Drosophila melanogaster: one gene and its partners. The protein of the gene in region 1 interacts with the protein of each later gene in a pairwise test. Each region holds a gene or a part of one and is shown in the gene's direction. Other genes may lie near its edges.

The links.
Region 2: the proteins of d4 (region 1) and CG2116 interact in a two-hybrid assay, tested with the Drosophila melanogaster proteins (one large-scale study listed by BioGRID).
Region 3: the proteins of d4 (region 1) and CG12075 interact in a two-hybrid assay, tested with the Drosophila melanogaster proteins (one large-scale study listed by BioGRID).
Region 4: the proteins of d4 (region 1) and prg interact in a two-hybrid assay, tested with the Drosophila melanogaster proteins (one large-scale study listed by BioGRID).

Annotation. Positions count from the first base shown.
Region 1 is NT_033778.4:5,290,576-5,298,529, forward strand, and holds d4 (d4), read left to right. Parts: upstream 1-3,487; 5' UTR 3,488-3,689; coding exon 3,690-4,137; intron 4,138-4,221; coding exon 4,222-4,488; intron 4,489-4,540; coding exon 4,541-5,319; 3' UTR 5,320-5,390; downstream 5,391-7,954.
Region 2 is NC_004354.4:8,125,379-8,133,572, forward strand, and holds CG2116 (uncharacterized protein), read left to right. Parts: upstream 1-4,433; 5' UTR 4,434-4,540; coding exon 4,541-6,337; 3' UTR 6,338-6,405; downstream 6,406-8,194. Other genes in the region: cyr (cypher), read right to left, coding at 1,312-1,600, 1,683-2,227; CG10958 (uncharacterized protein), read left to right, coding at 7,134-8,194.
Region 3 is NC_004354.4:8,834,158-8,842,843, forward strand, and holds the start of CG12075 (uncharacterized protein), read left to right. Parts: upstream 1-4,165; 5' UTR 4,166-4,327; intron 4,328-8,686.
Region 4 is NT_033779.5:8,458,696-8,467,194, forward strand, and holds prg (piragua), read left to right. Parts: upstream 1-5,792; 5' UTR 5,793-5,914; coding exon 5,915-6,079; intron 6,080-6,137; coding exon 6,138-7,649; 3' UTR 7,650-7,999; downstream 8,000-8,499. UniProt on the Drosophila melanogaster protein: May be involved in transcriptional regulation. The function of this protein is unclear.

The DNA of each region.
Region 1 (7,954 bases):
CCTCCAGGAAAGGTCTTGGCGTTAGTACCTGTTTTCGCCGTGATGCCAGACCGGGCTTCAGTCTGGGCGCCACATATCTTTTAGTACCACTTGCAGCCCTTACTGCTTTTGAGTTGGTACGTGTAATATTTTTTCCGTTTTTGTTTAAAAACTTCGAAACCGCATGAAACTGGTTTCGGTTTTGACCTGAAGCTTAGTTTCTTTAATTTTTCCGGTTCTTAGAGGTATAACGTGACATTTGTTGTTTGCGATATTATTATTATTATTATCCGAACTATTTTATTTGCTAGCGTTCGTAGTAATCTCTTGGATATTGGTGAAGGCTTTGGTTTTTAGATATCCTATCTGTCGTTTTATTAGCTTCCTCGCTTGCGTTTTCTGCTAGCAGTGCAATCATGTTTTTATTGTTGGTAGTAGTAGTTTTTATTTCGCTACCACAATTTTTTTTGGCTCTATTACCTGTTGTACGTTGCGGACTCCGTTGACGTTTTGCAAAAACGTAGCGATCCAGTCTGCATGACCGAATTCGGGCGGCCACTTGGATTGTAGGCTTGCCTACAATGGTTAACGGAGTATGTGTGTAATTTGTTGTTGGTTGCGGCATTGTGGATTTCCAAGATTTTGGAACTGTGCTTGGCAACGACGGAGAGCAAGAGTTCGCTCTCTGGTCTTGAAAGGGCTTGAGCGTTTCCGTAGAAACGAACGAGAAATACGCGTTGTTTTTGATTGAAGAGAGCCGACGCTCGTCTATTTCACGTTGACGTTGATCACGAATTTCGTTTTGCATTTTAATTTCACAGATTTTGTGATTACGATTAATTATAAATTTACTTATCATACTTTTTTAAGACACATTGTAAATAAGAAGAGAGAGAAAAAAAATATATATATATAAAGTATACATGTATTTGATCAGAATCAATAGCCGAGTAGCATACAGATTCTAAACGCAGCGCAAGTCTGTTCACCCATATGGCCACGCCCACTTTTCCGCCCGCTAACCACAGAAAACTGACACTCACACACCTTAGAACCATTTTTCAAAATTGTTTCATCATTTTATTAGTCTTGTAAATTTCTATAGAATTTTTGCCATGCCCACTCTTACTCCCTAAAACCGTCCAAAACTGCCGCGAAGCGGTCACGCCCACACTTTAAGAAATTTTTTTTTTAATTTTTTCTCATTTTATTTCCCAATATCTATTGATATCCCAGAAAAAAATGTTCTCGTTCCCATTTACACTAGCTGTCAGCTAGTAGCTGAGAAATGCTTTTGCATGTTCCGATGCGCACTTCTGAAAGCGTTAGCTTAGAAGTCGGCAATTCATGAAAGAGCGATGATATTTCCTCGCCTTGATTAAAAACATCAATCTTAATCGCTTAGAATTTTTAGGAGAGAGATCACCGTCATGAGAGTCGGCTGTGCAGCCGAAACAATTAGGCTCTGCGACGATTTTGTGATGTTCTTCAAGGGTGATGAATTGTGGATCTGTATGGTACATTCGATGTACAAGTTATCCAACCCATAAACATAGCACCCTTCCACAGTTTATAAACAAATTTCAATTCTCAATCTCGTCGGCATTTCCTTTGTCTTTGTTTTTGTCATTGCCTTTGCCAGCGCTTAGCTACTCGCTAAAGTAAATAACCCAAACTTAACGTAAACACAGCTTCCGCTTGGAGACCAAACCACGGCCAACTTATTACGCTTCAATCAAAAACTGCATCGATCAGCATAATTGAATTTCACAATGCAGTGGAATAATTTCAGCATAAAGCTTTTATCAAAAGTTCAGAAAGTGTCAAAGAAAAGCTTCTGGCCGAGGTTGATTGGATTAGGATTCAGAATTTGAAGATCAGTCTGATTCGGGAGGATTAAAAGAACGGTTTATTAGTGTATAAATAGATAACAATAAGTGTCTTGTAATAAAGTGATAAGTTGAAAAGTTTAACACCAATAAAAATACTAAAAAATAAAAAATTATTTTTTAAAATAATTTATACCGCAAAAAGTTAATTTACATATGTGAGGTTTGAGGCCAAAATTTTTTTCGGCTGCTTTTCATGGCGGGCCCCTGTGGTTGGCTAACTCTTTAGCGTGGAACTCTGAGGTGCTTAAAAATACCGTTTTTTCATTTTCACGGTACTGCACATAGAATTTTGTTTGTTTTCGTGCCTGCCTTCGTCCAGCGTTCCGCCTTTTATACACTCGTTGAAAGTATCCAAGCCAAAATCCCGCCATTCTGGTCTCGATCAGTACTTTCCACGGATACAGACGATTTTCCGATTATTATCGCTACATTTTGTTGCCCAATAAATGATCCTGGCAACTTTTTAATATACACTTACTGGTACGAGCGTCCAAGAATAATCCTGATCTATAATTCTTAATTTATCAGATCGGACACGTTTACTTTTTTTTCGCATATCGATAGAAATTTACAAAACTAACGGAAAAATATACAAATATCAAAACATTTTTTTAATATATTAGCCTGGCAGTCTTAAGCAGTTTGTGAATGCTTCTGGATCTGCATGCTTAATCTCAACCTTATAGCTTTAATAGTTCCTGAGCTTTCGACGTTCATGCGGACGGACATGGCCAATTCAACTCGGCTATTAATCGGATCAAGAATATATATACTTTATGTGATCAGAAACCGTTCCTTCGGGTTGTTACCTATTTTTTAACGAATCCAGTGTACCCTTTTAGTCTACGAGTAGCGGGTTTAGAAATGGAGCAGATGGTATCCTTGTCAAGGAAGTTTGCGGTACAATTTAATGAGATCCAACGCCTATGGTTTAACTTCTGGCGAATGATTGATCTTTAATAAATTTATATCTAATGTATACAGACTTTAAAACTTCGATTTAACTATCGACCCCTGCGGTGTTGATTTCGTGTTTTAAATGTTTTTGTATTTGTTTTAATACACTTGCTATACATCTACATCAAAAAATTCAAATAGAATTGTCAAATTCAAAACGACTGAATAAATTTCACCAGTGTGAATAGAAATAAAGAAGTGGTTTTCATGAAGAGGGTTATGTTTATCATTTTCATCAATATGGCTAAATTGGATAAATAACATATATTCTTAAAAAAAATTTTGAATAACTATTTAAAAGTCAAACTCAGTACATTTTGAACATGACTAATTCGAGACGATATGACCAGCCGTTAAGCATTAAGAGACTTTCACACTCCGAAAATTCTCCTTCAATGCGATAAAAATTCGGAATTAAAAAATATAGCATCAATGGTATAAAAACAAAAAAAAATAAATAAATTCTTTTAATGCAATGTTTATTTCTTAGCACTGGATCAAGAACTTTTGCTACAGAACTTATTGTTAATGTTAACTTATTGTTACGTATCAAGAAGTTGTGAATTGCGCATTAGGGAGCACTTGTGGAAATAACTTATTATAACTATGGTCGAGAACTTTGATATACATTTTGTATCTATTTTAAAATAGAAATACGTTCACACCTTTTCTAAATATTTAATTTTGTACTTCTTGCCTAGTGCCCCATAACAATTCTATATTTTGTTATTTGTATCAGCTTGAATTGTGTGTGAAGAAACATAAATTTTATCAATGACAAAAAAATATGTTGACAATTTAGCTCTTTAGTTTAGCTATTGCTTAACCAAATAATTCCTGCGGCTACCACTCGGCATCAACATGGCTTCCAAATCTGCGTACGAAAAAACTTTGGTAGTAAACATTGCCAATTTTGAAAAAATTCAGAACTTTTTAAATGACAAGGAAAAGTACAAGGAGATTCTAGAAAACAGCGAGAATTTCAACACTCGTCTATGCATTGAACGTCGACTTCGCATGCCATTCCTCGATCCCCAGACAGGTGTCGCACAGACACATTGCTCCCTCTTTATGAAAAAAAAACAGCGAATGCCAGGTCTTCGACATGGTCAGATATACACTTATCCATCGTCTCGGTGGCGCAAACCAAAACGTCAGTACTTACTTAACCCGAATCAAAGTTTCCGAGCCTATCAGTATCGCGAGCACAACCTTCAGCACTCCCACCATCAAACGCATCAGCATCACCATCATATACCTTCGTCTGGCGTTGCTGTACCACAAAATCCTCACTTAGCTGAAAGCGCAGGTAAAAAATTGCAGCTTATCGTCGGATGAAAGTCAATATTTTATACATCTGACATTTATATTTATTATGGGTTTTTATTTACAGCCATTGCTGCTACGGATGGCAACTCCATGGGAGCATCAGGAGATAATGATAGTAAGGACTCACATGCAAACGTCGAAAAAGAATGGTTCCACGATGAAATGGACACATCACATTTTCATCATGGCGATGAATTTGAGGATGACTTTGATTCAGATAACGATTTTGATGAGTCTTACACCAGCCGGGGCAAACGCAAAAAGTGTTCGCGTCCTAGACGAACAAATGCAAACGTAGAGGGTACTCCCAAACGGGGACGTAAAGGTGGTGGTGAGTACAAGTTTATTAAGCTGATGAATTGTAAACGTTATTGATACCCTAGGCAATCGTCGAAAGAACGCCGTTGAGGGAGAATCTGATCGAAAACGTAGAGCCGGTGGAAATAGTGCAAATACATCCGCAGCCGCAGCGGCAGCTGCCGCCGCTGTCGCACATGCAGCATGTACTGCAGCTGCTGTCGCTAGCACTGGGCTCTATGCATCTCATTCCAACTCAGCTTCGCCTATTCCCATAAATGACGACAATTCACAGTCAGGACTCATACTGCCAACAAACATATCGTCGTCGTACGATAAGACTTCAAGCGATGCTGGAGCTTCCAATGACTCAATTCCCCTAGCAACAATGGTTGCCATAAACGCGGGCCTGACAACCTCAAATGTTTGCAATGCGCATCCGGTGCAAACAGGAACAAATCAAACGGTGTTTGCTACTGGTAATAAGGTCAAACAACGTGTAGAACGTGACATAGCGCAACCATCACCTTATTGTGACTTTTGTCTGGGAGATCAACGAGAAAATAAAAAAACCAATATGCCCGAAGAGCTAGTATCGTGCTCGGACTGTGGTCGTTCCGGTCATCCATCGTGTCTGCAGTTCACGGCAAATATGATTATATCGGTAAAACGTTATCGTTGGCAATGCATTGAATGCAAGTACTGCTCCATCTGTGGGACCTCTGATAATGACGATCAACTTTTATTTTGTGACGATTGTGACCGGGGATACCATATGTACTGCCTGTCACCACCGCTTGTGACTCCACCAGAGGGTTCTTGGAGCTGCAAGCTATGCATGGAGGAGTTCCACAAGATTAAATAAGCTAATAAGCTACATTAATAATTCACCAATTATAAGTTAATCTTCTCATAAATATAAAAAACGTACATTTTACTTGGTTTGTTGAATTTTTTGGTCTTCTATTTTTCTTTTTATGCGCCTGTATGGGTTTTATCAGTTTTGGTTTAAGTAACCTAATTAATTTTTACACAGGTAAAGACACTTGACTAGCAACATATATCGAGAGTTCAATTGATAAAAATTATATATATATTATTGTGTAGTTTGGCGAAATTAAAGTCTGCTAATTTAATCCTCGCTATTTTTATTTTTTATTATATTTTATAAATGTTTCTTCTGTGTGCTTTTTGAATTACAAAGTGGCCAAATTAAAAGGAAATATAACCGTATAACGATTAGATTCGTTGAAAAGTATGTAACAGGCAGAAGAACGCGTTTCCGAATGTATAAGGTATATATATATGTTCTTGATCAGGATCATAGCGAATCGATCATGAACTATAAAAGCGCAAGTTTGTTGACCCATATTTTATTGTTTGTCTTGTTAATTTCTGTAGGTATTCCAAAAAACACTTTGGCCACGCCCTTCCTTTAACCATCAAAACGCCCGAAAACGTTGATTTAGAGCTTATAGATTTTTTATTTTTAAGGAACCGAAAAATAGGTGTAATGTGTAAAGAAATAAGTTGGTGAAAGATAAGAGAATCTGTAGCTCGTAGCTACAAATAGTATATTCAGAAAAGGATAGTTTCAGCATAAAGAAAGGATTAGAAATTTGCTAGCTAAACACTGGCCTAATTGAGCTCGCCGAATGCCTTAATCATATATATTTTTGACAGTGAAACGTTTTATCGGAGTGGGAAACTCACTTGATTTATTTATTACTATTATTACTTTATAATGCCCAAAAGGCATATATATATAAAGGTCTACCAGTCTATAAATTCTGTCAGTATATTTTTATACCTGACATATCTGACCATATAAGGTATATATATATACTTGATCAGGGTCAATAGCCGAGTCGATCTAGCCATGTCCGTCTGCCCGCATGAACGTCGAGAGCTCAGGAACTATTAAAGCTATAAGGTTGAGATACATATACATTCAGATTCTAGAGACATAGACGCAGCCCAAGTTGACCCATGTTGCCACGCCCCCAAACCGCACAAAACTGCCACACCCTTACTTTTGAAAAACGTGTTGATATTTATTTAAATTCTTATAAGTCTTGTAAATTTCTATCGATTTGCAAAAAAAAAAATGGTTGGCACACATTTTTCACATTTTGAAAAATTTTTAGATAATTTTTCATAATTTTATTAGTCTTGTAAAATTCTATCGATTTGCCAAAAAACTTTTTGCCACGCCCACTCTACAGCCCTAAAACCGCGCAATACTACCATGCCCACATTTTTAACAATTTTTAAATTTAATTTTATTCCCCAATATCTATCGATATCCTAGAAAAATTATGAAATTACGCTTTTGCATTCACACTAGCTGAGTAACGGGTATCTGAAGTTGGTTCTCTATGGTTTTTCTTTTCAGGCACTTCGGTATCATTGCTTTCGTTCGTTTTCTTATATATCCTATTTTGTGTTACTTCATAGTCCTGCTTTAAAATAGTCAAATAATAGCCACGGAAAGATGCAAAACATATTTTACACTCCGAAATATTTCCTTCCAGGTGAAATGCTTTTTCTTATTTATTTATTTTGTTTTTTTTTTTTTTTTTGTATTTGCAATCTGTAGCGATAAATAATTTTATCACCGTATGAATTGAGCTCCAGTGAGCTCAATCCATATATATACATATTTACATATTTTTATCTATTTCTAAAAATATATGGCAGGTCCAGTACATGAAAGCTTTTTCGTCGCCTTCGGTTGCTGGTGTCATCTTGTAGTCCTAGTGCTAGGACATTATCATGGTCGTGTAGTTTACTTATGTATCGCTCTGCATTTGACTTTATTTCGTCTTTAACAAGGGGAAGTTCCATGTCTTTGTGGATGTCATCATTAGTCATATACCATTGAGCACCTGTGATTGTTCTTAGCGTTAGAGTTGCCAGATGTTCCCCACAGTTGCATCGCGTAGGTCCATACTGGCTTTAGGACTGCTTTATACAGCCGTAAGTTGTTCTCTAGGCTTAATTGAGAGCGGGGTCCTAAGAGCCAGTACATTTTTTTTGGTTTTTTCTTTAGCTAAGTTTGCTTCGCTTTTATATGGTGTTTCCAAGTGAGACGCCTGTCCAGATGTACTCCAAGATATTTCACCGTTTCACTAACTGGTATGGTGAAGCCGTTTAGTGTACGAGAATGTCACTTGCACTGATTTTTGTGCGTTTACTTGCTATTCGCCATTTTTTAATCCATGCTTCAATTAACCCTAGTTCTTCTTGAATTAAGTTGGATGCAACGCGCGGGTCATTACTCGTGGCGATAATAGCATTATCATCATATCATCATATGTTGCTATCTGAACGGCATTTGTAGTCGGTAAGTCAGCTGTGGAAGTTGTATACAGCACTGGACCTAAAGCACTCCCTTGTGGAACTCCAGCCTCAACAGTGTAGATACTTGAAAATTCGTCATGTTCGCGAACATATTCTATTCTTAAGGTAGGACGATATAATTAAGAAGTATGGTGCGG
Region 2 (8,194 bases), on another chromosome or scaffold:
TAAATTATTATTATTAATTAGCTTAAAAAAGAAAAAAATCTGATTAACTGCTTGTAGGATATACATACATAAAAACATATAACAAAATCTTGTATATAAAAAGGTATTTCTCACATATTTACTATTAAATGATATTAAAATGTGGCATATGCATTTTTTCGAGCAAACACGAATAATTCGAATTGAACCCACACTTCCTAGTATCACTTTTATTCGCTGTAAGTTCCACTGTGCAGCGACTAAATGGTTAGGTGGCGGCGGGTAAAGGAAGATGTGGCAACCGCAACAGGGGCATGTCAAAATGCTAAACGATAAATATTTCTATGTATTTCACTGTTGGCTAATTGTTGTGACCTCCTAATTTACTCAAGAAGAACCTGAGATTTGAGGCGCTGGAGAGTCGAGGGAACCCCTAGAACACTTTGCTTGTTCTTCGCATTTTTCCCATTTTCCCACTTTACCTAATCGTTTGGGCCAATCTCAGTGGATTCGAGTCGAGTCGAGTCGAGTTGAGTTAAGTTCTTTTGGGCCTGGTTGGCTGGGCAACGAAAACTGTTCTAACGATGATCGCGTAATTATGGCTAACAGTTTCGGTTTTGCTGCCGTTTGCCTCACATTTATGGTCGGTGCTGTAATAACTGTTACACTTAATGAGCCAGGCTTAGTTTTGATAATGTATCTTTTTTTGTTTGGCGGCAAAATATCCCAAGAAAGACTTCCAATCAATAGGTTGTCCCATCTATTTGGATTTCCCTTTCGCAGCAATCAAGAAATCAGTGGCAAAGAATCGAAAATCAAATTGCTTTTGTTTTACATTTTCGTCGTCTTCAAAATGCACTTAAAACGTTTCTAAAACGCAACCCATAGAAATTTACAGGGTATGTGAAGTTGATGCGACTGAAAACTATTTTATGATATTTCTTTTTAAAATTTTGGAAATACTTTAGTTCTGGCAGCTTAAATCATTTGGCAGATGAACTTAAGCGAACTTTGTGAATGGATTGTTTTTCCCACTTGTTTTTCCCATCGATTGGCCCGATATACCCTCTAGATTGATACCCTCTAGATGTCGCACATAAAAATGAAAGTTAAATGCGATCAATCGCAGATCGCCCCACAGCATCGAGATCGTGGCTAATTAATGACTTTCCGTTCGTCTCGTCGCATCCAAGTTAAGTTTCTAACGGTCTGGTCTGGCGTAGAATGTCGCGCCGCCGGCACCTGTTACGCAAATGAACGATCCACCAGATACGTCCATATATATATGCATATGCATATAGATAGATAGCTTCAGCTGATCGCTTCACTCACCTGCTCGTCGATGGGACAGCCGCGGGCATCGAGTAATTGCTGCGTGGATTCGCCCAGTCCATCGAGTGCCGCACAGTCCACCACCCGCACTCCGATGTTTCCGGGCACGATGGCTCTCACCGTCAGCGTGGTGGCGACGCCCACCTCCACGGATCCGGTGCCATTGGGACCGCCCAATTCTAACCAGATCCTAACGCGTGGCGTCTCCCGCTGCTGTTGATTGATGGACGAAGTGGCGCCGAGAGCTGGAACTGCAGCAGCAGCTGCCAAGGCTCGCATCCTGGCATTTCTACATATATATATATATATATATCGAATCATAAAAGAACTTCTCCATCTTGTTACATTAACTAAAGCATTTGTAGAATTACCTATCGTGACCCTTTTCCTGTCGCAACACCGGAAGTGGCATGCCCATCGCATTGGCCGGAAGTTGGCATCTCACCGAGCTAAGGATGTCGGTGCTCTGGCGCAACTTCTGCTCCTTTTGCAGCATCACACGCACCGTATACTCCAGACTGCCGTCCTCCAGTGGCTCTGCCCTCACTCCGCAACCCGATGTTGGGATGCGCAGATGCAGACGCGTCGAGTCCTTGCCACGTGCGCGACACTCCAGCGGAAAGTCCTTGGCGTAGAGTAATCCGCGAAAGGGACGGCTCAACTCCAGATGCATCTCGAGCAGCTCCCGGCTGCAGTTCACCTGCATCGCCTGGATTTGCATGGTCTTGGTTGTGGTGGTGGTGGTGGTGGTGGTGGTGGTGGTCGTATCGTTAATGAAACTTTCCGGCGTTCTGGTTGTCCAGGCAGCATGACACAGAAACTGCGGCAGATGCAACACTCCGATGGCGATGGCCAATGGCAGCAGCTGGCCGAGATTGAAGGATGTGGACGCGGCCGAGGCGCTGGAGGAGAACATGTTTCCGATTTCCCGTTTTCTACCAGTGGCAACGGCAAACCGCCCCGCCGATGATCAAAACCGCAAAACGATAATGATGCCACTTGTTGCTGCTGTCTTTGGATGTTGCTGCTGCTGTCACTAGATGTTGCTGTGTTGGAAGCGACGACACCTGTTCGTGCGGCCGCGTGGCTAACTCTTAATTGGCCTACTCCCAGTCCAAGTTCGAGAATCTTGTCTGCGAAATGGAAATGCATTAGTTGCATACATAGCATAGCGATGATTTTGGGTCAAGTAATTACGGGGGGGGGGGGGGGGGCATGGTGTGTACTTGTTGCTGCTGGGCTTTCGTGTTTAAATGGGTTAACTAAACTGGAAATTTTGTACTTCAATTGTTAAATAACTATTTAAAGGTATAGCTAGCAATATTGATGATTTTAATCAATTGTAGGGCTAATAGAAAAAGGGAAAGGGGCACAACGCTGTCACTTTATGTAATTTTTAATGGCCAAATAAACGAGAGGCCAATCTGGGGTAGCCCTTCCCTGCCCATTTTCGATGCCATGCGATGCGATGTGATGCCAAATCCGCGACGAAAGCGGGTCAAGTTTGTCCCATATTTGTTTGATTGGATGGAGTCTATAAAGCAATGGAGCTATGGAGCCATGGGGCTACCGGGCTAAAGATGTTGCAGCACGGCGAACAAATAAATAAATAAATAGATGCGATAAAGGCAAACACCGAAGCTTAAATCAACATCAACATAATGCGTTTGCAACTTTGCGTAATCCTATTTTGTGATGTTACTAGCTGGCAGCTAGTATGGTTGGTTATTCGCTTATTGTGCTCTCTATTTGTATTTGTGATTCCCATCTCTTATTAACTTGACTGGGCATTGTAATCAGCCCAATTAACAATATAACTTGGACTCTACTTAAAAACTAAATATACAAGTATGTATGTATTTGTATCTTTCGAAGTGACGGTGCCCTTCACTCGTTTTGAGTTATTTCAAAATCATAGGGCTTATGTCCTTAGTCCTTAATCTTACAAATTAATATACTGAGATATTATTCAATATAACATGTGTGGTTACAATTGTATAGATGTTTTTTTGTCAATAAACTTATACGATCCTTTCAGTTGGTCCTTATTCTAAATCGCACAGATAAGTTCTTTAAATCTAAGTGTGATATTTTTTTAACCATTTGTTTTTACTGTAACTTGACATAGTTTTTTTTTTTTATGTATAACTGATATTATTCTTACCTTTTAGAACGAATTTAATATCCTTTCATCATCCCAATTTTAGCATTCTTTAAGATTTCGCGTTGAGCTTCTTCTCTTTTTCTATAACACTTATATTATAAACAGTAAAAAAAATCACATTCCTTGCGCAATTATGCGGTCAATTTGAATTGCGAAAAAAAGCAGAAGAACCGCAATTTTCAAATTGGTTAATTATCAGCTACTACGCATGCGCGCACTTCGCACGCTCTCAACGAACAGAAACAGTAAACACCGTAAAAAAAAAAACAAAACACTAACTGCTATTGAACAAGTGGATGAGATCGCGAAACACGCCCGTTTTGGATTGAAGAAGTCTCAAGAAGACAAGCGCGCGCCACCGAGTGTGCAGATGCAATGCACCGGGCCAATTCCGAGTCCAGAAGTTAGCCAAGTTAGTCGCGAGCGCAGACCGCAAAACAGTCAGTACAGCAACAACAACAATGAGGGAAGGGGCCAAAAGCGGCAAAAGACGTTGGCCGACGTCGCGCATGCCCAGCGATGTTTTTTTTTGGCGCGCAAGCACCTATTCAAATTGCGCGTTATCGATAATGCGCATGTATCGATATTTTGCGATCTATTCATCGGCACAATATTTAATTTATTTATTATATATATTTTAGTAAAGAAAATACACGTTTCACACAGGCAATGATCGAAATTCGAATAGATGTATTCGCATTTCTCGAATTTTCGTTTTTCTTTTCAAAAAGTAGCAGTTATTTGATCGAAACAAAATTAATATTGGTCGATATATGGAATGTCATACCTCGTTGAATTTGTAATAAAGTTTCAAATCGAGTGGCATTTACAGCTCAAAATGTTGGATTTTCATGATCTATGATCTACGCAGAGTGAGTCGATGTATGAAAGCGGAAGGAAGCAAGCATTTCTACAAAGCGAGTATTTTGTTGAAAATTGCATCGATACCTGGTATCCGATAGTTAGTTTCGGCCAGCAACCTGCGACTGGTCACACTTGCAACTTTTTACGTTTTTTTTCGGCAGTCGTGCGAATTAATTAATTAATTCAGTTGATGTGACCAGGATGAGCCACAAACGCTGCCTTGCGAACGAGGTAATCGAATTCGTCCTGCCGGCCAATAGCGATTACTCGGACGAAGACAACCGTGGAAACGTTCGTGTGATTAACACTAGCGATGATGCCACCTACGTGCTTCTGGACAACCTGGGCAACGAGTTCGAAGAGGACATCATCATCGTCAATGAGAACGGCGTGGAGAAGGAGATGCTGATGAGCAAGGAGCTGCGCGACTTTATAGTGGGCTCCCGGGTGAAGGATTTGACGGATGACGAACAGATGCCGCAATTTGTGGTCAGGGAATTGGATATGAGCGAAGTGGGGGATTTGGTGGAGGTGGAACCGGAGATGGAACAGGAGGCGGACTATGGCGACTACGGCGACTACGAGCACGAACCTAGCTACGGCCATCCGCGCGATAACGAAAGGGTGGAAGAGGATCTGGATATGTATCCACCGTCGTCACCCTCGCTGCCACCATCGCCACCAAGGCCGCCGTCGCCTGTTGTCCAGCCCGCTAGCAAAGCTAGAAATTCTGCCCGCCAGATCGCCTTACGTAGCTTTGTCAGCCAAAAAAACAACGACGACGATGATGGTAGCGTGAAGGAGGTGAAGCCAAGCGAAAAGATGCTGGAGGAGTTCAAGGGACCGCGTCGCTACATGCTTTTCGACGACCTGATAGCCACCATTGTGGACTTTGACGAGGATAGCACACCCCTTGTGGAGTTCTCCATGATCAGCGACATCATGGACGAGAAGCTGCCGGTGGAGTGCGGCATTTGCCCAGATGTGATGCACAAATCAAAGCTGTCCAAGCACCACAAGACCCATCTGGTGCCTGGCACCAATCGCTATGCTTGCATTTACTGCACGGAAACGTATCGCGACTGCAAGTACCTGGCCGGACATGCGCGGCGCCACATGGGCATCCGTCCATACGTCTGCGAACTGTGCACCCTATACTTTTCGACCAAGCAGGATCTGCGCGTGCACAATCAGCGCCGACATCTGGAGAAGGAGCATATTTGCGAAGTGTGCGGCAAGACGTTCGCCCAGAATACCCAGCTGAAGCGGCATCGCGAGGCGACGCACGAGAAGAAGCGGCGATTCCAGTGCGAGTACTGCCAGAAGGCCTACTACAAGAATTTCTCTCTGCAGGAGCACATCCGCAATGTTCACATGGGCAAGCGGCGGATGCTCAAATGCCCATTCTGTGGCATGCAGTGTCGCGATGCTCACAAGATGGCCCGTCATCGTAAGGAGATGCATCTGAGCCAGGGCACATACGTGTGCCATTTGTGCCAGGAGGAGTTCACCGACATCAGCTACTTCGATGCCCACAAGCGTTCGATTCAGTGCCGTAGCAATACGCGTCGCTTTGTGAATGCGGATGGGAATCGTGAAGGATCCGATTCGGAATCCATTTCCGGTCGCAATATGAATGGCCAGGACGACGATTACGACGGCATGGGCCCACTGCAGGAGGAGTACGACGAGGATGACGGCCTGTTGGTTGAGGACAATCAACCAGAGGAGCAGGGTTCGCCGTCCAATCGCCAATATTTGGACGAGAGCGAGCAACAGTATGTGCAGCTATCGGATTACGATGACCAGCACCTGCTGGTGGAGAACGCAGTGGACGCAGAGGATGGCGGTGAGGATTTAGATGAGCTGCTAACCGAGGATCAGTACTTTAACGCTGTCCAACAGCATCACCAGCAGCATCAGCAGCATCATGGCCGAGGGCAGGACTACAACGACGAGCTGATATATGAAATCACCTTGAAGACTGAGGATAACTGAGTGCCGCAACTCCGCGCAAATTTTGTACATATATAGGTCGCAATTAAATACTATCATGTAAAGAATTCATTCGCTTGACTTTGTTTTTGAATGGCAGTACCAAGTTTTTTGGTCGAATGCAACCCAGTGTGTACAAATCCGCAGGGCTGTATTTTAAAGGGCATCAAGTTCGGACTGTTGATTGCAACCAAGGGGTCAAACATCGCGCCTTTTGGTTGTACCAAGGGGTCATTGCGGTTTTGGCAATGGAATTTTCCACTCATTTTGCATTTAGCAAGGCCCCGGTGACGTCAGCACGGGCTATACAGCAGGAGGAAGTGAGAAGGAAATAACTTTAGCTACAGCACTTATTGCTCCATTTCGATAACGATTATTTCGGGTGGAGATGAACTAATTTCAAAACTAAATAGACTTTTATGTATTAAATACGTATTATTCAATGATTTATTGTTAATTATTATTGACAAAATATGGTAAAGCAGTCATGAGACACTTTTTATTAAAAAAAAAGATCATGTATATTTGCTTAAGCCTGCACTTCTCTTGTTTTGCAACACTAATGGGGCGGGCACCACTGACAACAGAAGTAAACAAACGTAAAGACAACATTTTTGTTTCTACCGGAAAAGTAGGCGAAATGGGCAATGACCACGAAACCAAGGGAACCCGGGATCCTTCGATCAAACTTCTCCAGTCACACAACAAACCACCTTGATTTGGAGCAGAGTTGCCTTCAGAAATTCCGCACAACAAAGCGATTCTCATCCAAATCTCGACCTGGCATATATTTTAAACAATGGACGACAACGAGGATGAGCTGGAGGAGCACCAGGAGCTGGTCAGCGACGGCAGTGTCGAGGAGGAGGAGGAGGTGGAGCCCGATCTGGGACCAGTGGACAGTTGGGAGTCCTTTAATGACCGCATCGATGGCCTGATCTTTAACGAGCGATGCGACAAGTCGGTGAAGAAGTTGGACGAACGCCGGCTGGCGATACTCAACCGGGTGCGTCAGCAGTTCCGCGAGGCCCCGAAAGGCGTCGCCGAACGTTGCCAGGCCCAGAAGTCGCCGATTGATCAACGGCTGGAGTTGTCCAGTGAGCGATTGAACGAACTGGTGCGCTTTGGCAAAGAACTAGTGACCAATGTCCGGGTGGCCAACGAGCGAAGGGAGCTGAATCGCCGACTCTTCGAGGGTGCGCAGAAGAATCAGATGCATGTGAAGCTGCAACGCGAAAGCGTTGAGACAATGGCCCGTTTCGAGAACATTAAGGCGCGCTGGACGGAGCTGGAGGAGACCAATGAGCCGATGCTGTTGTGGGACCAAATCGAAGAGCAAAAGAAACGCATTGCCGAGATTATGGCACGCAAGGATGAGATGATATCTGCCTGCCAAGCGGAGGTGGACCGCATGAATGCCAAGTACGAGTTCGATCGCGAGCGGCAGGCCCAGGATCTTTGTTGTCTGGTGGAGCGCGTTGATCACCAGGTGGAGACGCTTAAGGAGGCCTACAAGGAGCACATCCAAATGCTGCGGCAAACCATCGAGGAGGAGCGTCAAATCTTCGCCGATAATGCGGTGGAGAAGTGGCGCACCTTCTTCGATGCGATGAATGCCAACTTTGACGAGAAGGCCAATTTGGTAAGGGCACGCGAGCAATTCTATGCTCGCCAAACCCAGCAGATCAACGAGTCCCAGGAGGAGCTGACCAAGAGCACTCGCATTCGGCTGGAGAAGGAGTGCGAGAGGCTCGAGCTGGAGCTACGTCGCACGCGCGACAATGTGCTGATGAACTCCGAGAAGCTGGACTACAACTATCAGGTTCTCCAGAAGCGCAACGAGGAGAACGTGATCATTAA
Region 3 (8,686 bases), on another chromosome or scaffold:
ACTTTTGATAAATTTGACGCTTTTTGTTTGCTGCGACTGAGAAATAACTTGTTGTGATAATTTCGCCAGCGAATTTGTTGCGCAAATATCAAAATAAAATTAATTTCCCCCGTCGCCCGGTGAAGGATACTCATCCTCCTCCTTTTCTTTGTTTCTTTTCTTTTTTTCTGTCCATTTGGAGAGTCCGAGTTTTGTGGTTCGAGGTCCAAGATCCGATTCAGATCCCTTTTATGAATGAAATCGGGCCTCGTCGTCCCATCACCATCACCATCTTCATCTTGGCCGTTTTGCCGTTGCACCGGAAATTGAAATTTTAAAAGTTTTGACGTTTGCCAGTTCTCCGCCGTCCGTCCGCTTATTTATGCAAACAAAAATACCTTTAAATGCAGACACGAGCCACGGAACCTAAAACGAAATTAACAAAATATTAATTGGCTGACTGGCTGGCTGACTGGCTGGCTGGAACTGTCTGATGTGATTCGGTGCCATCAGTTTTTAGTTTAGTTGAGTTCCATGTTCGGGCTCAGATATACAGATACAGATGCAGATACATATTCGGGGGACCGGGTTCAGGTCCACTCCACTTCAATTCATTCCATCTGTGGCATTTCTCATTTTGGCCAGCATTTCGTTTTCCGTTTCCGCTCGACGTTCATCATTTGCATAGAGCGATTTGTTTGGCTGCTCGTCAAAGTTAACAAATGTGTAAACGCTTTTCGGTTCGTCCAATAAATCAGGCTTAATCAACGGACACCTTAGTTGTGCCGATCTCCCGAAGTTTTTTGTCTTCATTTGTACTTTTGATAATGTCATAATATAAGTGCGCTTCCAACTTATGCTAATGACACGCATTGCAACGCTGCAAAAATAAATTCATCAGAAATCTAAGCAAACTCCACTTAATTTACTGGCACATGGCTCCACCCCATTTTATGCCACCCACACGCTTGATAGACCAAAAGAAAAAAAAGGGAACAAAACTGGAAAAAGTCTGGGAGAGTGTGGAGAAAACGATCCCACTCGATGACTGGCAAGCGATTTCGACGCCTACGAGTGGCAGAAGCCTCCATAAAGTGGAACCTCTCAGAAATATGCTAAATAAATCTTTGAAAAGTATTTCATATACATTTTAGGTTGCCTAAATAGTAGAATAACTTGCTGGAAACTTTCTGACTTACTTTAAAAAAAAAAAACATACAATTCATTGCTTTTTCGTTAGCTGCGTGTGCCCACTGTAGCCGCACACAAAAGCGGTCCATTCATGCCAGCAGCAGCAGCGATTCGAACGCTCTGACGTTCCATTCATCGCCACTCGCCCGCTGCAACTCATTTGGGAAACCAAAACCCAATGTACCATGATCACAAGAGATCGAAATCGGCGGAACGAGAATCGTTTTGGGAGAAGTCGTCGAGCCAGAAACTGAGTCACTAGCGATGCCCGACGATCGATACGGGATGGGATTCCAGGGCATGGTGCACGATGCTAATGCGACTGCAACGGAAATCAAATCTTTCATAAACTAAAGAAGTAGATGTATATGAAGTACCCATCTCCAGTTAATATGACACATCTTAGAACGCAAACATAATGGCTAAGCTATCATTTGCTACTTCAAGCTTCAACTTCCTGCGGATATACATATGTATTTTTGTGTGTGGAACTTCAGTCTGGTCCTTAGTTTGACCAACTTTGTGGGGAATCGACTCCTTTTGCGACAAAGATAAACAAAATGGCGCCCAAGCCGGGCCATTGGCTAAGTTATGGTGACCGGCAGAGGGACAAAGGCGGAATGCAAATGCAATCCCCAGGCTCACAAAAAAAAAATATATATATGTACACATACACACAAAAAATAAAAAAAAAAAAAAAGGGGAAAACGAAAATAAGAAGGGGGATCCCTGGCCCAGCGTCTGCAGCTGACATGATATACGCTTTGATGTCTCGTTTTTTTGATAAAGTACTCAATCTATAAACGCCAAGAGCAAAAAACCGACTGCGGACCGGGGTCAATGCAAAAATATGATATGGAATTGCCTGGCCCTGGATCGGAATCTCTGGTATTGGCGACTGGCTGAGATTGGGATTGCTATTGCGATTGCGATTCGGATTCGGATTCGGATTTGGATTGCGACTGGGACTGGGACTGGTACTGCGATTGAGATTGGGCTGGTGACTCTGACTGGTGCACTAAAAAAGCGACAGCGCGCTGAAGCAGAGCCGCCAGTGGAAAAATGAAAACAAAAGCGAGGCCGAAATCAAAATCAAAAGAACCAGGCAAAAAATGGCGAGCCAGCAGCGACGCTTTAAAGGTAAACACCCCACACTCCTACTGCTGCTCCTGCTCCTGCTCTTGCTCCAGCTCCAACTCCAATACCATGACCAAAAGCCGGACAAATGGACAGCGGGACAATGGACACTGGGCACTGGACACTGAGATTGGCAACGGCTTTTGGCTAATTCGCGATGCTCCACACACAACGAAAAAAAAAATGCTTAGCTGGTAGCCGAGCACTGGAATACCCTAATATTTTGACTATTTACAAAATTCTTCATATTTCAACACTAGCTTAAATATTAAAAGATTAAACAGATTATTTTCGAAACACTATGCAATATCATGCAACTTCACCTATTTCACTGCATTCATAAATAATCTTGTGAAAGGTTTTTGTATTTCTAAGTCATCAAGCTGCATCAGCAATTCACCATTGCCCGAATGCTTGCAGGATATTGAAGAGCTGAAATGTCATTCATAAATCATACGCAACGATGTTGCTTGCCGCATTGGACTACGTTGCCATTTGCTCTACGCTTCTTTTGCGTTTTTCAACCATTTTTTGTCTTGCCATTTTTCGCTGCGTTTTTTTTTTTGCACTTCGTTGCTGTGCGCTTTAAATCGATTCGCAAGCAAATTAAAACATTTCAAGATTTATACGCACAACTGTCAAAAAATGTTCAAGTTCGTTTATCAGCGTGTCCTTATCGCACACCCCATACCAAAACCAAAGCCCCCCCCCTGACGATGCTCCTTTTCCTTAAATTTGCATTTTGCATTCGAAAGGCAACTTCCGGCATTCGTTTGCGAAGCCTCACTTGAAACGCACAAATGGCCCCACAAAAAAAAAAACAGTGGAATCTCCGCAAAACGAACAGGTATGTGTGTGTTTTCTTAAGTTAACATTTTATTTATTTTTGGAAGATTATGACAGTATTGGCAAATAAAACTATATTGCAGTGCATACATATTTAACAATAAAGATTCGCAGAAAATGTGTATCAACTTCAAGGATGCACTGTAGTTGGCATGCATGCATATATACCAGATAGAAATTTCATAGTTTTTGGTTGGCTTTGCGCAGCGTTAAGCCGCGGGCATTTTTTGTATGTGTATGTGTGAGTGCGTGCGTATCTGTGCGAGTATCTGTGTGCCATTCGAAAGTTTCGAGCGAAGCATCCTCAGGCACACAATCCTTGCAATCGCGCACAAAAAATTGACTAACTTTTATCATTTTCATGGCAGAAAGTTAAAAATTGTTAAAAATGAAAATATTTTTGCACGAGAACATGGGGAGGGAAAGCTCAAAATGAAATCATAATTTCAATTTCTAACTTCGAAATGCAAGTGCAAAATGTAAAATTAAATACGCAAATAGAAACACAATACAATATCCGATGACAATAAAAAAATAAAGAAGCAAACTGTAATGAGGAGCACAGCATTAAAAAATGGTTTTACCAGTTTCAAAAAGATTTCCATTTTTTTTAAATTTACAAAATATCACAGTTAATTTTATTTACCTTTTCTGTTATCACTCAGTTAAATTTAAAGTTACAGAATTGCTTAGAGATATTTTGAGTACCGGTTGGTGTCTTAGCTAATGCACTATGGTTCATTTCTTGGCTAATGTACTAAAAGCGAACTTCTTGCGCGCTAACTTAACGAAGACGTCGTTCAGTTTTTGTTTCAGGTGCTGTGTCCCGACTAAGTTGTACATTTTCGAAAATGTTTTATTATTTAGTTGCGCTAAAAAACAAGCTACAATTTGTGAAAAGCTCATAAAAGTTGAACAAAAACCGGTTTCAGAAGATCCCCCTTTATGCCACAATCAACACATTTATTTTCTCCTCTTTCTCCCGCGTGTTTTTGTTTTTGTTATTAATTTTTAGTTTATGCGCGTGTTTCAAAGAAGTTGGTTGTTTTAGCCACTTAACAATCAGTATAAACAGTCCCTTTTCAGTGTTTTTTTTCCTGTTAAAATCAAACAAAAGTGCCTATTTTAATTACTTTTCGAACGAGACACTAAAATATAAGCACTGTTTTATGAGGTAAGTTAACGGCAAATTAAACACAGCTCGCATATTTATTTTGGCCAGGCCAATTTGTGGCCTATGAAAAGATGAGCGCGATCTGAATGAATTTTATACCAGCACGTGAGAGAGCTTTCTTTCAGAGAGTTAGTGTGGGTCACCCTTGAGATGAAAGTGCAGCTGGGGGGCCAGTGGGCCGGATGGAAGGTCACCAAGTGTGAGGGAAATTGTGTAGAATAACAGGTGAAAATATGTGAAACGATGCTAAACATGGTGAAAACCAAAGACAATTGGGTTTATTTTGAAATGCAGCATGAGTTCGTAGAACTGGACCAAAAAAAAACATCTTAAGATTGATAGTAAACCAAAAACCTTTATGACAGCTCGTGAATAGAGAGCCCTGGCAAATCTATGCAATCTAATGAGATTCTGCCATCTAATTAGCTATGCTCTGTGAGAATCGCATAGAAATGCGGATTAAGTTGATTTTGGCCTGAATTTGGTACCAAAAGCGGAAGACGTTGGAAAACGGCTCTTTGTCATCAGGCTGCACATTAGGTTTGGTCTATTAAACGTGTGTGTTTGCTCACCGCTCACAAGAACCTGCGATATGTGCTGGGGGTAATTAAAGAGACAACATCTGCAGAATGCTGGCCGAAGATCTTTTATTTATGACTTGACCATTCACCCAGGCTCAGCATCATCAGGCAGTTCTTAGCATTCAGCTACGGGGCTTTAGTCCCAGCCTGGCCAAAAGTGTTTTGCAGTGGCTGTGTGTTATGCTCCGGCTGCTGCCTTTCCTGATGGCCAACAAATTCATAAACAACGCTGAAATCAAGTTTCGAGAGGCTCGAAGGGGACCGCAGTCCCAGTTGATGTAGGCACAATCAAGATGTTGGCTAGGAAAATTCTTGGACGCGCTGGGGCCTCCTCGACTTACCACCATCCGCACAAAAACTTCTCGTCTCACCTATTTCGCCAGAGTTAGCAGCTCTTGGGTAGCGATAAACCAATTACCCTTTGTTTAGACTTTAAAAGTACTTAATTTCTATAATACAATTATATGTGATTTAATCAATCGGCTTGGTAAACTGGATAGCGAAGAAGTATCTTTTAAATTGTAACTTTCGAAGGGATTTCAAGCGAACCGTATCATGATTTATTTTAGGGTACATCCATATTCGTTGCTGCCCTAGAAGATGCCATTTCTTATTCAGTTTTCGTTTTCGTTATTTATTTTTATCTGCATTTTTCTTTTGGCCGAGACGAAACGAGTTTTCCAACATTTTAAGCTTTTCTTTGGCCCCTCTCCCCCGATTTTCCCTCATATCATCTGGCTGCTGTCTTTGCGCTTCGCTGAAGTGAAGGAATTTAATGCCACACTGAAAATTGCAGCCTCTGATATTCCATATGCATTTCCATTATTATTTTCATCATTGCAGTCATCTTGAGCAATTGTAGACGAGGTAAAATGTCAAGTAAATCATTCGGTCAACTGAGTTTTACCTGATCATTTAAGTCGTGCAACAAATTCAATAAGCGAAATCATGCAGTTGCAAATGCTCACTGCAGATAATGGTGTTCAAAGTGAGTACAAGTCAAATTGCAGACCACGAATTACTTATATCGTATTATCCAATCAAACCACTTTGACTTTGATAAACGCGTTATGGGCCCTTGACTATAAAAGTGAGATTTATGATTCAAAGTCTATAATTGACTCCCCAGGCTCGATATGTGGATCATTCTATCGAATGTTCTGATCAGAATACAGAGAGAAACGATTTTTGCCAAAAAATTCAATATTTAGGATGGCTTTTTTGGCTATAACTTGACTAAAAATGGTCACAGAGCAAAAAGAAGTACAATTTTATACTCTCTACAACCAATACTAACAACCCCTTTCACTTTTGAACTGATTTTGTAAAATTAATTTTTGGCCAAATTTTCGCATTTTTTGTAAGGGGTAACATCATCAAAATTTGCAAAAAATTGAAAAATCCTATAATTCCCAAACTTGAATGCAAATCGATTGGAATTTAAAAAACAAACTCAATGAGGTATGACATTCCATATTTGGGTAATTATTTCCAATGTTATGATCAAAATACCAAATATTTTTTTCACACAAAATCTGGAAACTATTCTTGGCAAAAAACTGAATTTTCATTTTGGCTTTTTTGGCTATAACTGGACTAAAAATGGTCACAGAGCAAAAAGAAGTACCATTTTATACTCCCTACAACCAATACTAACAACCCCTATCACTTTTAAACTGATTTTGTAAAATTAATTTTTGGCCAAATTTTCGCATTTTTTGTAAGGGGTAACATCATCAAAATTTGCAAAAAATTGAAAAATCCTAGAATTCCCAAACTTGAATGCAAATCGATTGGAATTTAAAAAACAAACTCAACGAGGTATGACATTCCATATTTGGGTAATTTATTCCAATGTTATGATCGAAAAACCGATTATTTTTTTCACAAAAAATCTGGAAACTATTTTTGGCAAAAAACTGAATTTTCATGTTGGCTTTTTTGGGTATAACTTGACTAAAAATGGTCACAGAGCAAAAAGAAGTACCATTGTATACTCCTTACAACCAATACTAACAACCCCTCTCACTTTTAAACTGATTTTCTAAAATTAATTTTTGGCCAAATTTTCGCATGTTTTCAAAATTTTCAAAACTTACAAACAATGGCAAAAAAAAGTTTTCTTCTTTTTGAATACAGTTTGATTGGAAATTGAATTACGAGCACAACGATATATCACATTCCATAGTTGGAGTATTTTATCAAATGTTATGGCAAAAGAAATATGTATTTTGCAAAGTTAATTCATTTGAATGGAATGTTGGAAAAGGCCTCTTGATCGATGGTTTGTGGCTACCTGGACGCCTAATTCACACGCACCTTAATTAAATCGACTATCGGTTACCTCGCCCTTTTGCCATTTTTCATCTGAAATCTCTTCTTATTTTCGTATTTTCTTTTTTTTTCGACTGCCTCTCTTGTGCGTGAGCGTACGCTTTTAAGTTATGTTTCGTGTTGTTTCCCTGCTCGTCGAGATTCTTTTCACTTTCTTCTCGGGAGTGTGAAGTTACAACAATGGCACCTGCAGCAGCCACATCCAACACACACAGGTGCGACTGACAGCTGCCCCCAGGGGGTGAGGGAGAGAGAGGGGGAGAGGTGAAGACGGGTGGGGAGGGGAGTGGCACCGATGGGGGGAGGAGCTTTTGGGGACCGACAAAGGCAAATGCATTGTTCGATTTAACTTTCACTGATTGCCCGTTGACAATGCGATGTGGCTGCTCGTAGGTCGTACTTATACACACACACACACGTGCACACACACACACAAGAATGTGTATGTGTATGTGGGTCTTGGCATACAAATGATTAGCAAGTACGTCGGCAATACTGCGAAATTCCATTTACTTTCTATATGGAAATCTATGTGCACACTCGAAAACATAAAGGTAAAAATTAAAATAAATCTCGAGAGCTTAGAAAGTTAACACCCAGCTGAGTGTGTATGTGTGGGTGCGAGATAAAAAACGAGACAGAGCCTGAGAGAAAGAAAGAGTGCGATATAGTTCTTCAGAGGCGACAACTAATTTGAGAAATTATTTTTTATGGCGTGCGGAAGCTTTGGCGGCCCCAATTCCAAATTCCCAACTCCCTTTGCGTTTTTGCTGTTGTCTGTTAATTAAATGATTGTTTTTTTTTATATATATATTTTCTGTATGGCATTTGAATTTTGAGACGAGATAAACAGCGGGGCTGGGTCTTTGAAAGACTTGATGGATTCCACTAAAAATATATACATATTATAAAGGTTTTTAAATGCAAAGTGGAAGAGAAAATCGCTGGCTTTTTGGATGTGTGATGTTAGATTGATTGGCGTAATTTTTGGGAATTTTTTTTTTTCAGCAGTTAACTAGATAGAAAACGAAACAGGTATTTAAAGTTATGTTCGGCCATTTCTGTATACATTGTGAAACACTCGATGTTGCACATTAAGCTGCCTGCAGCTAGCTGACAACATATGCAAATTCATCATACAAACGATCAGCACCTGTTTTGTTCAACAGGTGTACAACATTATCAGCACACAAATCACGGGTTTTTGCAACCACACAACAATTGTGGACACTCAGCACGTTTACTACAAGTTAGTTAGTTAGTTGATGGAATGGCTAGGAAAAAAAAATAAGAAAAAAAATTAGCAATAAATTGAGAAATTTAAATTAAATGCATCACAGTGTTTTTTGCAGAAAATTAACAGCTATCTTAAAATATAATATAATTCTTCAGTATTTATGTAGCATTTACAAAGTGCTAAAGAAATATTTTTGCTTCCTCGAAA
Region 4 (8,499 bases), on another chromosome or scaffold:
AATAGTCGAACCAATGGAAGATGAAAAAATCGGAAATTTGGATAGGTGGAGACTTATCCAAAAAATGAAGAAAGATTTCTGGGTTAAGTGGAAAAGTGAATATTTGCATACGCTCCAGCAAAGGAATAAATGGAAAAAGGAAATTCCTAATATAGAAGAAGGGCAAATAGTTTTATTAAAGGATGAGAATTGTCATCCTGCAAGATGGCCTTTAGGAAAGGTGGAAAAGGTGCATAAGGGGAATGATGATAAGGTCCGAGTGGCTAAAGTAAAGATGCAGGAAGGATATATCACTAGACCCATTACTAAAATTTGTCCCTTGGAAGGAATAAAGTCTGTTGACAAAAATGAGGCTGACCAAGAGCCAAAAAGACGAACTAGAGCGACATCGGGAATGTCCAAGATCGGAATCATTATGGCAATGTTGTTGTTTGTGTTAAGTTGTCAAGTTTCTAGCGCATTACCTAAAGATATAGCACCAAGATATTCTATAGACAAAATAAATAAAACCTCAGCAATATATCTAGACCCGCTAGGAGATGTTGAGATTGTGAGTACTTCTTGGAATTTGGTTATCTATTATAAAATGGATCCATATTTTAAAATGTTAACAAAGGGTAATGCGCTTATACAAAGTATGAGGAAAGTTTGCGAAAGACTTCATAGCTTTGAAGAGCAATGTAGTCTAGTCTTAGATAATATGCAAAGTCAGTTATCGGAACTTGAAGAAAACAATAAATTGTTTATGATACAGTCTAGATCTAGAAGCAAGCGTGCTCCTTTCGAATTTATGGGTTCCTTGTATCATATTTTATTTGGTATAATGGATGAAGATGATAGAGAGCAATTAGAAGAAAATATGAAGAATTTGTTAGATAACCAGAACAACCTTGATAAACTAATTCAAAAACAAACATCTGTGGTTGATTCAACTTCTAATCTATTAAAGAGAACAACAGAAGATGTTAACTCCAATTTTAGAAGTATGCAAATAAGAATTGAGAACATGACAGAAGTTCTTAAAGAAAATTATTATGTTTATAAGGAATCAATAAAATTCTTTATGATTACGAAACAGCTACACTCATTGATTGAAGAAGGCGAAAAAATTCAAGCAGGCATTATAAGCCTGTTGATTGATATTAATCACGGTAGGCTAAATACAAATATTCTCAGGCCAAATCAGCTTAAAAAAGAAATTGCCAAAATTCAGCAGAGTCTTTCGGAGAACCTAGTAATTCCAGGAAAACGGTCAGGTACGGAACTTAAGGAGGTGTATACACTGTTAACAGCCAGGGGTTTATTCATCGACGATAAATTGATCATTAGTGCAAAAGTGCCTCTGTTTAGCAGGCATCCATCCAAATTGTTCAGGCTTATTCCGGTGCCAATTCGAAATGAAGATCGGATAATAATGGTGCATACAACGTCCGAATATTTAATTTATAATTTTGAGATAGATTCCTATCACATAATGACGGAAGCCACATTAAATCAATGTCAGAAATGGCAACTAAATAAGAGAATATGCAAAGGAAGTTGGCCCTGGAATTCAGCGAATGATAATGCATGTGAGATTCAGCCTCTAAAGCCAGATAAAGCGGCGAACTGCATCTATAAAACAGTAGTCGACTCTAAAAGTTACTGGGTAGAGTTAGAAAAGAAAAGTAGTTGGTTGTTTAAGGTTCCTGCGAATTCAAAAGTCCGTCTGCAATGTACTGGCTCTCAAATTGAATTGTTTGATTTGCCTCAGCAAGGAGTTTTAAGCATTGCGCCATATTGTACGGCAAGAACCGACGATAAAATTCTAGTTGCCCACCATAACATTCAGTCCGAAAGTGAAGAATTATTATCAACACCTTATATAGGAGAAGTTAGTGAAGCGCCGAAGATTATTTGGGATCCGCTGAAACTATCAATATTAAATCATACTGAGGAATTTGAACGATTGAATAATGAAATTAAATTTATGAAAGAGAACCATCAAAAATTGAAAGATTTACATTTCCATCATATTTCCGGACATGCTGGATTAATTATTGCTTTAATACTAATGATAGTATTAATAATATATTTCATACGGAAATGTGCTGTGCAACAAAGAATGCAAGCAATAACCTTTGCAGGTCCGTTGCCAGTACTATAAATATCAATAGTAAATAAACAATAAAATAATATAACAAATAAAAATATACAGTCCACTATATCGTTGTTTAATAGAAAATGTACTTCTACATAGAAAAAGCAAAATGTTTAAAATAAGTTAATTGAGTACAAATTGATGAATTAAAAATAATATAAACCATAATTGTAATCCAATAAAATTAAAAGCCAGAAAAACTAGGCCCATTGAAATCTTAGTTGCAAAATAAATGAACATATATCAAATAAATACAGTCCACTACTGTTATAAATGCAACTAATATACTAATGTACATCTCAGCTTGCTGGCCCTTTGGCAGAATGTTCACACATGAACACGAATATATTTAAAGACTTACAATTTTGGGCTCCGTTCATATCTTATGTAAATGAATCGAGAGCGATAAATTATATTTAGGATTTTGTTATCTAAGGCGACATGGGTGCATTGCTCAAAAAACATGTAATTTAAGTGCACACTACATGAGTCAGTCACTTGAGATCGTTCCCCGCCTCCTAAAATAGTCCCTTAGTGGGAGACCACAGATAAGGTCCTCGCCGCTCAAGATAGGCAGATGTGCCCGAGCGTGGGACCTCGATAAGGCGGGGACTATTTACTTAGGCCTCTGCGTAGGCCATTTACTTTAAGATGCGATTCTCATGTCACCTATTTAAACCGAAGATATTTCCAAATAAAATCAGTTTCTTACAAAAACTCAACGAGTAAAGTCTTCTTATTTGGGATTTTACAAGCGCTGAGATCTAATGGTTATGCCATTTTCCTTGGATTTTCATTGATTTTTTGTGTAACGCTTGTGAATGTCACATGTTCCTCCGAAAGCATATTATAATTTCCAACTTTGTACTTAATTTGCACGGCAATATTAGATTTTCGATATTGCGGCTCAGTAATTGGTCATAAATGGCTTATGTTATTAGTTCTGCAGAAAACAAGAGCTTTGCGATAATATTTCCACGTATTTATCGTAGTTTATACCCCTGCGCTTACTGGGTTCTTGGTACACAACGAAAAATAAACAATGATATGGGAAACTACATTTATTGTAAGAGAAATATTCAGCTCCATTTGTGGAATTGATTTTACTGTGATTATTCTAGAGGGTTGAATGACAAGAAAATTACCGACATGGTTTTACAGCCTACAAGTTACTGGATTGCAAATGAAGAAATTTTAGAAAAACACTTTGTACTCATACGGGTTAAGTTTTAAATTTACATTTCTGACAGTGTGCTAAAATCAATTTATCTACTGCACATGTTTGACTTTTTGTTTACAATGTCCACCGTCATCGCCTGCTTTTAATATTGCGAAGGGGGTAAATGGTTTGACACCCATTATCAGTATCAGTTCGACGCACGACAATCTCAGCGAAGCGTTCGGTGTGCGACAGCGGAACATCGATTCATTCAGGCAGCATAAGCTTTAGGCTACTGATAAGATTGTGGCATGATTTCACGCTGGGAAACTATGGGCATGGTTTTGTTACACAGTTGCTACGCATGTGACGCGGCCGCGGAAATTAACTTAAGTCCGGACATGAGGTCTGGACCTCCCCCACAGCCACCAATTGCCGTTCAGGTCAATTTAACGTCAGCGTTTCAAGTCAAGTTCAAAGTCAACGGGGAGAGTGATTCTAAGCTGTAGAACTAGACCTAGCTTGAGTCACGGCACCGATTCATTTGATCTGCTGATTGGACTTTCCTCATCGAATGATCATTGCCGAGCACTTAATTGCCGAGTGGAATGTTTAGGACAGCAATCTTCAGTTGTTTTTCATTGTACACAAAATTGGAAGTCACTCTCATGTGGCCGGCAAATGGCATGTTCCCTATGTTTAGGGGTAATTGTATGCAAGTGTAAATATTAAGTTAGCAGAAGTCTCGTAGGGTAAGGATATTTACTAATTCGGTGTGGTGATATCATATAGATTTGCTTCTAGGGACTTTAATCAGACCATTAAGCTCGAATGCAATCTTTGCGCTTATTTCACTTAAGCAATTATATTTTATCTTTATGTTCAAACTTTTTAGGGCAGATAGTGCATACGCTAGAGTGCTTTCGTTCTACTCACTACTAACTCACTACAAATCACTACCTAAATAGGCTAATAGACGCATTTTAAAGACCCCAATTTCGGTAAATTCATGAAATTATAAATTCTCTTTTTTATAGTCCTATTTATGAATTATAAATGCACAAATTCATTTTCATACGCGCAACGGCAACTGTGAAAAGTGAGGAATCCCAATAACCAAAAATTAACAGGGACTTGGTGGCAGAAAATTTAACACTCATGAGAACTACAGGGTGCGAGGGCAAAGCTTGGGTTAACAGGATGATAGGTACACAGAAAAAAAAAACTATTCCATTGAAATTTGCGATCATCATTCATACGGTGTTTATGTTTTTGGAGTAGTTGATTCAAAATTGTAAAAAAAAAACCCTGTGTTTCCTTTAGCAATGTGGTCCAATCAGTTCATCATTTTATGCATATAATCTAAATAATAAAATTGAACCTGATTACACATCAAAATCAAATTTCTCTCCGTGCATCGGGGGAGAGAACAATAAATGTACACGGGGTTGCTGTTGCTTTTATTCCTTAAGGACGGGAATAACACACTAACCGCATGGGAGAGAAAAGAAGTGGAAGAGGGGAGGTGGGTAGGGAAAAGGAGCGAAAGAAGGAGAAGCGGCAGGAGCATAATAAAGACAAAAAGTACGTGGGTGGAAAACAACAAATACAGCCCAAATTGTATAAACTCACGGAACAGTTATTTCCCTCTATGGGTGGAAAATTGTTGCTGCTAATTCCCTTGCTGCTGTTGTTGTTGTTGTTGTTGCCGCTGCTGCGTAGGCGTAACAGTTGTTTTGCCGATGTGTGTGTGTGTGTTCTAGTATAATTTGCAGCATCTGCAGTGCAATAAATTCCACTAAACGAACATTAGCCACTTTCAATAGAACCAAAAATCTCACTGCAATTAAGCAATAACCGCGCAAGCAATCAATCCCGATTAGTTAAAGGAATATACGCGCGTACGCACAGATTTTTAAACAATCATCCGCTTTCGCCGAAAGAGTGCCGGCACTCGAAAAATACCTCCGCTTTAATCAAGAGTCCGCGGGCAATTGAAAAAGCTCTCGCTTCGCGTGTTCACGGCGTGTACCTACATAGGTACGCATCAATTAGGTACCTGCCGCCCACTGCTTTAATCGTAAGTGCATTTCTGATTTAAAAGTGTGACACGAGCCTTATAAGTCTTATAATTTATATTTTATGCAAACAGCTTTACAAATTTTTAATGTGTAGAAAGAAACTGCGTTTTATTGAATTTGAGCATCATCAAACTTCAACCCCAAAGAATTACACATAAGTAGTTTCGTTTTTGCTACCAAAGATGCTGACGTTTATTTTGCGTATTAGATATGGCTTTGTTACAATTTTAGTAAAAGTATTTTAAAATGGAAAGGTACAAATCTGAACTTTAATAAAACACAAAATTGTTTAATTTAAAAACTTCAAATATTCAAAAATTCCTATAATTCAATTAAGTAACCCACTGTGCAGCGGCTTATCGATTTCCTCCGACAATCGATTGGACCATGTTGTTTAATTTCGCGACATATCGATACTATCGTGGTAGATTGGCCATTGACCAACGCGTTTTATTTGCTACCGGTGTGGCTTTTGTTTGCTTAAACAATTGGATAATTTATTGCAATCCCGGCTTAAATGCATATGATTGAAGAATGCATACATCGGATATCAGCATGACCCAGGATCAGGATGTGAGCACTTGTCGCCTGTGCCACCATAATACGGATCCCAACTCGCTAAACATTTTCGATGACACCGTGCAGTTTTGCAAGGATGTGTCCATTGCAGAGGTTTCCAAGAGTCTCTGGAGCGTTCAGGTGAGTGGGCCATTTATAATCCATGGAAAAAGTGCATGAATAACTTCTCCACCTACAGTACGATCGCAACGAATGTTTGTCGGAGCTCATTTGCTCAAGGTGTCTGGAGATCCTCGAAGAGGCATTCGAGCTGCGAAAAGGAATGCAGGAGCGGGAACAGTCCCTGCAGGAGCAGCTGAAGGAGATGATTAAAGATCATCCGAAGCACCGTCCAGGCCTGAATGGCAACCCCGGAGTATTCGTACCCGAGGAGGGCTGCATTATTGTGGAAGTTGATCCAGAGAATCTGGCAGAGAGCAGTGAAGAGGAATTCGCACTCGGCTCCGATGGGGAGTACGAAAACTATGACGACGATGATGAGGAGGAGGAGGAAGACTACGATGAGGAGGACGAGGAAGATGGCCAGAACGGCGAAGACGTCGACATGCCACTGGGCATGGATGCGGCCCAGATGGCGGCTCAACAGTCCGTTGCCAACAACGCCAACACCACGGAGGCACGGCCAAAACGAGCGTTCCTCTGTCAATACTGTGATCTTGGGTTCACTCTGCCCGCCGAGTGTCAAGAGCACGAGCTGGCTGCACACGATCCCAACGCACCGTACTGCTGCAACTTTTGCAACATCAAGCTGGTTACCCGGCCTGCTTTGATTTCGCACATAAAGACACTGCATGATCCGGACCGTCCGTATGTGTGTGCTCACTGTCGGAAGGGTTTTGTGCGCCGCTCCGATCTTAAAAAGCACACAATCGTGCACACTGGCGTGAGGCCCTTCACATGCAACGTTTGCTCCAAGAGTTTCTCGCGGAATACAAATCTGACCAAGCACATGCGCATTCATAGCGGTGTCAAGCCCTTTGTTTGCCAGCAGTGTCCGCGATCCTTCCAGACGGCTGTGGAAATGATGCGCCACACACGTTCGCACGGAGAGGTAAAGGCTTTCCAATGTGGACGCTGTCCCTACTCGTTTTCGCGCAGGGATAAGCTAATAGCCCACCAGCAAGTCCATACCAGGCGGGACATGGAGCAGCAGCAGCAAATGGGTCTAATTCCCCCGATGGAGGGTGATCTGCAGCAGCAGGCGTTGCAGGCTAAACAAAAGGCTGCCGCACAAACCAAAAACTCACGCTATTACCACTGTGATGTCTGCGATCGAACTTTCCAACGGGAGAGGGACCTGCAACGCCATCAAGCTCTTCACATGGACTCGCTGTTCGCCTGCAAGACATGTAATCAAGGTTTCAACCGACGCGAGCAACTGCAGCGCCATGAGCTAGAGGCTCATGGTCCCAGCTTTACGTGCGGAATCTGTTGCATTAGCTTCCTGCATCAAATTGAGCTGGAGAATCACCTCAAAGTCCATCAGTTGCAGCACAAGATGGCCCAGCGGGCTCAAGAGGCTGCTATTTTACCCCTAAAAATGGCCGAAAAGGCTCCAGTGGCTATGACGGCTCCGCTAGTTCAGGATCCCCAGCTAGTGCGTCCCTCGGCAGCGGAACTGTCGTTCTACAGCAACATGATTCCCACAATGAATCTGGGCTTCTACAGCGAGACTCGTCCCGAGGAATAGAACAACATATTTACATGTTTAATAAGCTTAGTTGATAGGTCGGAAAAGTTTTGTAGGTCAAGGCTGTTTTAGTCGTTCAGGTCAACATAGAATCCATTGGTGTTAATGAATCTGTATAGTTTAAGTCATCTGACTATTGTCTGCCAAAATGTAGCTTAGTGGTTTTTAATAAAAGGCCAAATCTGAAACGGTTTTCTTCGAGATCGTATGACTTTGTGAAGATATTATTTTTCATAAGATATTAAAGAAAGTTTTCTGCTCTATAAAAAACTTCTTAAAGTTAAGTTATGTTAAACCTATTTAAAGTAGGTTTACTTAATATATAAATAAAATATCAAGTAAGGTATTTGAACATTTTGTATTAGCAGTCGTCTCAGACCAACATGTTGCGTGCAACAAGTTGCACGTTGTCCGATACGAAGAAGGTCTTCTCCGAAATCTTCAGAGCAACTGCACCGCTGCAGATTCTTTCTTGAGTTCGCCCCGTACGGTAGTGCCTCTCGACCAGCGCTCTCGGATCTTGATCGCCTCGAAATCTCGTAATCGCCTCGAAGTGCGCGTAGTGAATTGTGCTGGTGCTGACAGTGTAACGTAACGTTTGATAGAATAATAAATAATAAGTATTGGAGTGGGAGATCCGCAAAGAAATGTGGCCAAGCTACCATAAATAAAGTGCGGATTTCAAACGAGACGATAAATCTATTCCCGAAACGGGCACGCAATCGAGGGAATACGAATCCACCTTACGGTTCGCTTGGTTTTGGTTAGGTTCAGGTTCCGCTGAGAGCGGTAAGTACGCAATTACCTTCGCCATTGCCAAGGGTCACTTCGCAGGCGATTTATGTGTATG